Linked DNA regions of Oreochromis niloticus. The protein of the gene in region 2 interacts with the protein of the main gene of each other region in a pairwise test. Links are inferred from orthologs where the notes say so. Each region holds a gene or a part of one and is shown on either strand. Other genes may lie near its edges.

The links.
Region 1: the proteins of pex12 (region 2) and pex10 interact in a two-hybrid assay, tested with the Homo sapiens proteins (4 studies listed by BioGRID, with this or other methods). The link is inferred for Oreochromis niloticus from reciprocal best matches to the Homo sapiens genes PEX12 and PEX10.

What each region holds. Positions count from the first base shown.
Region 1 is NC_031984.2:35,141,894-35,145,813, reverse strand, and holds the start of pex10 (peroxisome biogenesis factor 10), read right to left. Parts: upstream 2,875-3,920; 5' UTR 2,612-2,874; coding exon 2,500-2,611; intron 652-2,499; coding exon 571-651; intron 497-570; coding exon 93-496; intron 1-92.
Region 2 is NC_031969.2:4,526,422-4,530,341, forward strand, and holds the start of pex12 (peroxisome assembly protein 12), read right to left. Parts: upstream 2,931-3,920; 5' UTR 2,693-2,930; intron 1,715-2,692; exon of another isoform or gene 1,712-1,714; 5' UTR 1,710-1,711; coding exon 1,587-1,709; intron 1,496-1,586; coding exon 960-1,495; intron 461-959; coding exon 67-460; 3' UTR 1-66. UniProt on the Homo sapiens protein: Component of a retrotranslocation channel required for peroxisome organization by mediating export of the PEX5 receptor from peroxisomes to the cytosol, thereby promoting PEX5 recycling.

The DNA.
Region 1 (3,920 bases), on a different chromosome or scaffold from region 2:
CGTGTCAGGATGACAAATATGCAAAAAACAACAAAAAGAAATAACTCGGGGACAAATATTTCCCACAGCACTGGATTTTTTTAATTACCTACATAACTAATATCAGCCAGTCTCTTGGACAGGTGGTGGAACGAGCCAGTGACGTAAAACAGAGCCGAGTGGAGGCGATAGAGGAGGGTCAGGCTCTGCTGGAGGACAAACACAGCGTTCAGACACGCCCTCCTCTGGGGCTCTGAACACAGCGCCGCCGCTTTCTGGACCCATCTCCTCAGCCAAGCCTCGAGGCTCCATGGCACGGACCCCACCTGCTGCCGACCGCGGCTCTCTTGCCCGCCTTCAAGCTCGTTCTCCAGACACACCAGCAGCTTGTCCAACAGATAAGGAACGAAGGCGTGGCAGAGGACAAACACACCTCGTCTGGCTGGAGAGGGGATCTGACGTTTAGTGGGATCCACTTGGACAATGTTAACATATTCCTCACCCAGAGTCTGATAGCCTGGAGAGGAGAACCATCAATCAAAACAGGAAATCAGCTAAATGCATTAACTGAACATGGTTTGTGGTGACTACCCAAGAATGTTGTTAGGCCAAAATATGCAAGATCTGACAACAGCTCGATCTCCTTCCTCCACTCCAGCCATCGTCTGGATCCTACAGAGATGAAGAAAACATACAGAGGTTACAATTACCTCACTTTGGCAATATAATGTAATATAATGCCTAACATGAAATATGTTTGATTAATATGCTTCATCCCACAGACAAATATCTTTACAGTGCATATACACATGGATTATACACAGAGACAAACTTGTATTTGTCTGACAGCTTCAGCTTCTACTTACATGGGTAAAAAGAAAACTCACAAGCTGCATGTTTCTGATCAAATAAAGAGTAGATTATAGATTAAATATTCCTTTATTGGGGGAGAAAATCTCCCTATATCATAACTGTTTTAGGTCAGATGGGCTGATTTTTGCTAAACGGTCCAACAGAGCAGAGATGATACAAACACCAAATGCTTACGTCAAAACACACACATGTGCAGCAGTCAGTAACATGTAACAAACATATGTAGCAGCGACATTACTTCAAAATACACCATGATTCATACAAGTGAAAAAAAATTACTGCAGTAATTTAGCTTGACATTTATTTTCAGGTACATGTTGGTGTTTATTACGAACAAGTGCTATTATTTTAAAATCTAAAAATCTTGAAATTGACCGAACACCACTGTAAGGGTATACAGCAGTAACAATGTTAGTGTGTTTATCTGGGACAGATAAACAGCAACACAAGTCATGTTTATTCATGGTTTCCTTTTGAAACCGGCCATATTTCACACATACACAGCAAATCCATGAAAACCACCTGACAACAGTGTGCTCAGTGGACATTTCTGAGAGCTGCATGTGGAGGAAGCTGTGTTGGAGCGAATACTATTCATTGTAGCTATCATGCTGTCCATTGCTGTTTTGAGATCCCCGCTTAGTTTTGCAAACTGTCTAATGCACACATCAGTGTAAGCTTATCATGTGAGGTGCAACAGCCAATCAGAGTGGCTCTTCTTCCTTTTAATGGGATTCTGAATTCAAAAAAAGTGGCTAATATATAAGCAAATTCAAAGGGCTGTTATTTTGAAATAGTCAATCAGACTGGGGTCTCGCTTGCTTGCGGCTCCTAGAGTACTGAAAAGCAGAACGGGAGGCAGAGCCCTCAGGCTCCTCTGTGGAACCAGCTTCCAGTTTGGACTGGGGAGACAGACGCCCTCTCTGCCTTTAGGATCGAGCTCTAAACCTTCCTCTTTGATAAAGCATACAGTTGGATCAGGTGACCCTGAATCCTCCCTTAGTTATGATGCTATTTTCTTCCTGTTAAAAGGGAAGTTTTTCCTTTTCACTGTCGCCAAAGAGCTTCCTCACAGGGGTCATCTGATTCTGGGGTTTTTCTCTGTTTTCTTTGTATTATTGTAGAATCTTTACCTTACAATATAAAGCGTCTGAGGCAACTGTTGTTATGACTTGGTGCTATATAAATAAAACTGTTTTTGACAAAGTGACGTTTATATATTATTCTATTATTCTATTATATTATATTATTATTATATATTCTTTATTTCTCCAGTTAAAAAATCTCATTCACATCAAAAAAATATTTCTGGCCAACAACTATAACCATAGTTTTATGAAGATATTTTACGAGGCCAAAAAAGACTGGATTGGTTACAATGTAGTTACAATATCACAGAGTCATAAGGATCCAGTTTAGATCTACAGTTTATATATAACCCCTTTGTAAATAATCCTGCTCACTAAAGGCTGTTTCCCCATAAAAGTAAAGACATCAGAAACACCTGAAGTCACAGACCGTGATTACACCGGGAGACAAACACCTGTCGCATCGCAGGACGAGCTCGAAAGTGAACTACGTTAAAACAAGACATTCAGTCCTTATACCCAGAATCACAGAGTGCCGGTTTAGCTGTGCTTCTCTTACCGGCCAGAGTCTGGAAGGCGTCGTTAGCGCTGTTCCTCAGAGAGCTTCGATAATAGTCGTCCTTCTGACTGCACCGAATCAGCTGAGCCCGAGTCGCAGGAGCCAGGGGCATCGTCCGGTACAGCCGGTCACACGCTGTGACACCGAGATATCACCGTCCAGGGTACTGCTCTTCATTCACACGCAGGCTGAAGTCAAGTCGTCCGGTCACTACACCAGATAAAACAAACCTAACTGCTCTTATTCTGATCCGAGCTGCATTTTGCACACTCTCAACGTCCACTAACATCCACTGAGAGTGTTTAGAGTAGCTGCGGAGTTTTGAGCCGCTCCAGGAAACATTACCGGAACTGTCTGCTGTACAAACAGACAGACAGCCAACCCTATAACTCACAGCGCCTCTCAGGGGCAGGGAGGAGCACTACAAGCGCACAAGGTTTGGATTTCATCCGATTGTGTTTAACAAGGTATCAAGCTGTCATCTTATATTATGTGTTCAGCTTTTAAAACATACACTCCTAACAAAACAAAACCACCTTTGTTTTTTACTCACTCTTTGTCAAAGACCACCTGACCCTTCAAGAAGAGTCAGTGTACATTGTAGTGCTCATGTACTTGGTGGAAACAACTGGAGGAAAACAATCAAAATTCTTAAAAACTGATAATGTAAAGATCTGTGTGTGTACGTCAAACAGATGAGTTAGACACAGTGAAAGCACTTACAGGTCTGACTGAAAGAAAACGTGACCGACTGACGGACTCAGGCACAGTGTTCACTCACAGTTAGACATTTCCTCTGGAAACCATGGATGCTGTCCTATATAAGCTAAAAATGTGGGTGACCATCCATCTAGTTATCATAGCATAGTTCGAAAGCCGAAGTGTTGAAGTGAGCACCATGGTGAGATCTAAAGAGCTGTCTGATGCCCTCAGAAAGAAGATTGTGGCCGCTTGTGAGTCTGGTAAGGGATTCAAAAAGGTCTCAAAAGAATGTGACATTAGCCATTCCACCATTTGGAAAATTGTTTACAAGTGGAGGACACTAAAACAACTGCCACCATGCCCCGGTCTGGCCGTCCAAGCATATTCACCCCCAGAGCAGACCACAAGATGCTCAAAGAAGTCATCAAAAAACCTAAAATGTCATCACAGGAACTACAGCAGGCTCTCTACTGTCGATGTGAACGTGCATGACTCTACTATCAGAAAGAAACTACACAAGTTTGACTTTCATGGAAGGTGTGCAAGGAGGAAACCTTTGCTCTCTAGGAGAAACATTAAGGCCAGACTGAAGTTTGCCAGAGAGAACGTAGACAAAGACCACGACTTCTGGAATAATGTTCTTTGGACAGATGAGTCTAAAACTGCATTATTTGGACACCAGAGCAGTAAACATGTTTGACGTAAACCAAATACAGCCT
Region 2 (3,920 bases):
TGTCTGTTTATCATCTCTCTCTCACACACTCACAGCTGAAGTTGTCTGCTTTGACTGCTTGATGCTTTAGCTCTCTGGTGAGTAGATCTTGATGAGGTGTTGCAGTTCGGTGGGATATCCGGTGACCGGGCAGCGGTGGTTACTTTTCACGTATGTGTAAATGCAGCGGTAACAGAACACAAAGCCCGAGGTGGACAGCACGGTGGCATTGGTGTGGGGCTTCCTGCACAGAGGACAGTTCCTGCTTTCTGAGCCCAGCCCGGTCTGATCCTGCTGCAGGTGGAGCGGGGGCGGAGGAGCAGGCAGGGAGGTGAGAGCTTTCACTGTGCTGAGGTTCTCAGACGAGTACCACCACTCCAGGAACTGCAGGAAGAAAACCCCCATAGAGAGGGAAGAGGAGACAGACACAGCCATGCCCCTCGCTGCTTGTGACATCATCCACCACGCTCTCTGCATCAGGCTGTGAACAGAGAAACATTGCATTGTGGGTGTTTAGCAATGTTTTCTTACGACATGCCTCATTCAAGAACTGTAAAAAATATCACAGAGTGTATGTTTGTGTGCCCTCATATCAATTCACCAAATGACCTAAATAAAGCCACACAGCGCACATCAGCAAACATTAAACTTGATAAGTGTTTAAAGTACTTAAACCTTTGGCCAAACAAAGTGAAATTAATCTCACTGTCTGAAAATTCTCTATGAAAAACATCCATTTTCTAATGTGTTGGATCTGAGCCATCCCAGCAGGCTTGGACCATAAGGACACAACAGTTTTGTGGTTTTTGCATCACTGACTAAATGCATTTTAATGCATGGAACGTTGTATCAGCAACATACAGTTAAACAGGCTGCATGAAAAACTTCTTTCAGGTGAGAATCTGCAACTGGTGATCTATCCGGGTACAAAGCACATCTGTGGGTAAAAACAGAGACAGCAGGGAGTTTGCCAGCTGTACCTTCCACCAGCTGGTCTCCCGGGAGTCCTGGCATTCCGCTCCATATCTCTGATATCTTGAGCATTAAGTCGTTCCAGTCTGACCCCGGCCAGCCACAGGAGAGGACTGTGGGTCCTGGAGACTCCAAAGACAAACAGCAGCTGCTGACAGAAGATCCAGGTCTGCCAGGCTGAGCTGACGTACGGGTATGCTGCTACGGCCGCCCGGTACAGCCTCTGGCTCCTCGTCTGCGCCAGCCGGATGGAGAAATCCTCCTCATCCCTTTGCCGTGCCAACTTGGCCTCCAGCTTGGCCTGCAGGTATGGCAGCAGGCACAGAAGAAGAAGAGACCACCAGCGGGATGCCCTGGTCATCCCGAGGCGCACAGGAAGTCTCTGCCTGCCTGAAACTCTTTTCAGTCCGTAGAAGTTCTCAGAGAAGGAGGCACTGCAGTTAGACAGGAAGTGGTTCTGAAGGAGGAGGTCCAGCAGCAGGTACAGCTCATCAAAGCTTCGCCACAGGAAGCCAAAGCGGGATGGGTTGGACTCTGCCAGAACCTGGAAATGACACCAGGAGCGAGGCTGTTAGAACCCAACACAAATCTATGGAAAGTATAAGTACGCCCCCGACACACACACACGTGCTCACCTTGACTGCATGCTTCAGTGCCGGTCTGACCGCCTCCATCAAAGACTCCTGTGCCAGGACTTCAAACACTGACGGCTGCTCACTGACAGCCGTGGATGTGAGATGGGCTCCGGCCTCAGCCATGGCTGCTGCACAAACACAGCACAGTTACCTTTTACTGTCTCTCAGTCTGCACTCAAGTCCAGACTGAGAGACTCTTCCATCTGTATAAGGATTTACTGGCTTACTGTAACTACACTGAAAGCACTTCATATGTGACAAAACATTCGCTTTATTTACATCAGCTCAAGGACCAGCAGCCAGTGGAAGCAGCTGACCTCAGGGAAACACTGTCACATCCAACTTTCTGTCAATCTTTGAATACAGAGCTCAAAGCAGGCTGTACACAGGCATGGTAGAAGAAAATCACCATTTGGTGCTGCGTTTGAGGTACAGCTTAAAATGCACTTTCTTGGGAATCTCACGACTAATATTAACTTAAAATCTGTCAGTCAGTAACGTTTAAGCAGTTTTAATCCCGTTTGAGGGGCAATTGAGCAGTTTTTATGTCCCTGTGCTCACTAAAACTAAAATTTATTCAAGTAAAGTTTGAAAATTGCTGCCCAAATAAGCCCTAGGGAATATTTTAAGGTGGCTGGAGCACAATAAGGACGTTTCTATCGGAGCTTTGTGATTCACACTAATCTTGTCTCCCTTACAGAGATTCAGTAAGCAACATGACAGTTACAGGCAGCCGCTGCATGAACTTAGAACCGAGGTACAAGGTGCAAAGCTGGCATGACCTACTTCAACGTGAGTTGTCCCTGAAGGCTGCATTTCTCGTTAAACGGCACAGGTGTCTTCAGTGCAACACTGCAAAGTCTTAAAAACGCAAGCCGCCTATATGAGCATTTGTGAAACACTTAATATGTCAGTGACGTTTTGAATTGACGGCTGGGAAACACCAGCCAGTGTCGCATCTTACTCAGTGCTAACGCCAGGTAAGTAAGGTACTGGACAGGTGCTATTACCAGTTTAACACAGTTTAACAGACTAAACAGTAAGAAGTACTGACAGCGGGAGTTAGCATTTGCTTTTCACTACTTTATTTCTGTGGTCACACGTACCTTCCTCTGCTGGTTGCTAGCTCCCAGCCAGCAGGTCTGCGTTAGCGTCAATTCTCTTCAGGCTTCTTCTACCTCACACGGCAGCGCTGAGCAAAACATTAGGACGGAGTCTGATTTTGTCCCATTTCTCTCCTCTCTCGCCCCACAACGTGTACTGTCCACAACAATTCACCATTTCCGTTTACACACGCTCTATTTTTTTTCAACAACGTCATCACGCAAGCGTATGCGACTGCTCCATCGGACTCTAAGGAGGGACCCTCTAACTCTACCGTGATTGGCTGTTTCGCTGTCAAGCAACTTATGACGCTCTAGATCCTAGGCCACCGATAGGTGGACGCAGCCAGGCTGAGCCAAAGAATGATAGTCTGCCTTTATTTAAACCGTTGTAAATAACTTGTTGGCCTATAAGCTCTCAAACATATCTGTCTTTAATGATATTAAGTAATTTTTAGCCCCCCAAAAATTATACCAGTCACAAGGTAGAAGCTGCAACCAGATTTTTGCAAAAGCGACGCTATATCCTTTATTTATACAGGTAAAAAGTGCAATTGACCTTAAAAATCCCCCCCAGGAAGAGGGAGAGAGCCAAGAGAGCAGTTATTAGACAAATATGAAATAACAGTTGTATAAACACATTTTTATTTCCGTTATTTATTTACGAATTCACATTAATTACTTGATTTTGACGTATCGTCGATTTTAATCTGCGCAGGGTTTTTCTTTACATTTTTCTATACATACAGCAGTCACACAAAGCACCGCGTCCAAATAACATAGAAACAAATAGACCAATCAAGTACATTGTAACACATCCTACGTGATCGTGCTGAGCCAATCAAATAGAATAGAATTAGTGTTATACTGATTCAATTTTAGGGTCAGATTCATAGACCCCAAAATTAAAAAATATAGTGTATGTATGTAAATGTATCAATTGTGTTGCTGTTAATATTGGAAGCAGGCTGACAGTCTGTTTATTCATTCAAGTATAGCAGTGTGAAGTATTGGAAACTGTGATCATCTTATATATTGTCTTTTAATATGATGTCTTCTAATCTATTTCTGGTTTATCAAACAGCCACTTTGCCTTTAGAACTAGTGACAAACCAGCAGTTGATAGAAAACATATTAATTTATATACAGTCTGTGAAACTTGATGGTTCTGCTTCCTTATCCATTTGGCCTGTGAAGGTTCCCCAATGAATCGGGAAGTAATTTTGGAGGC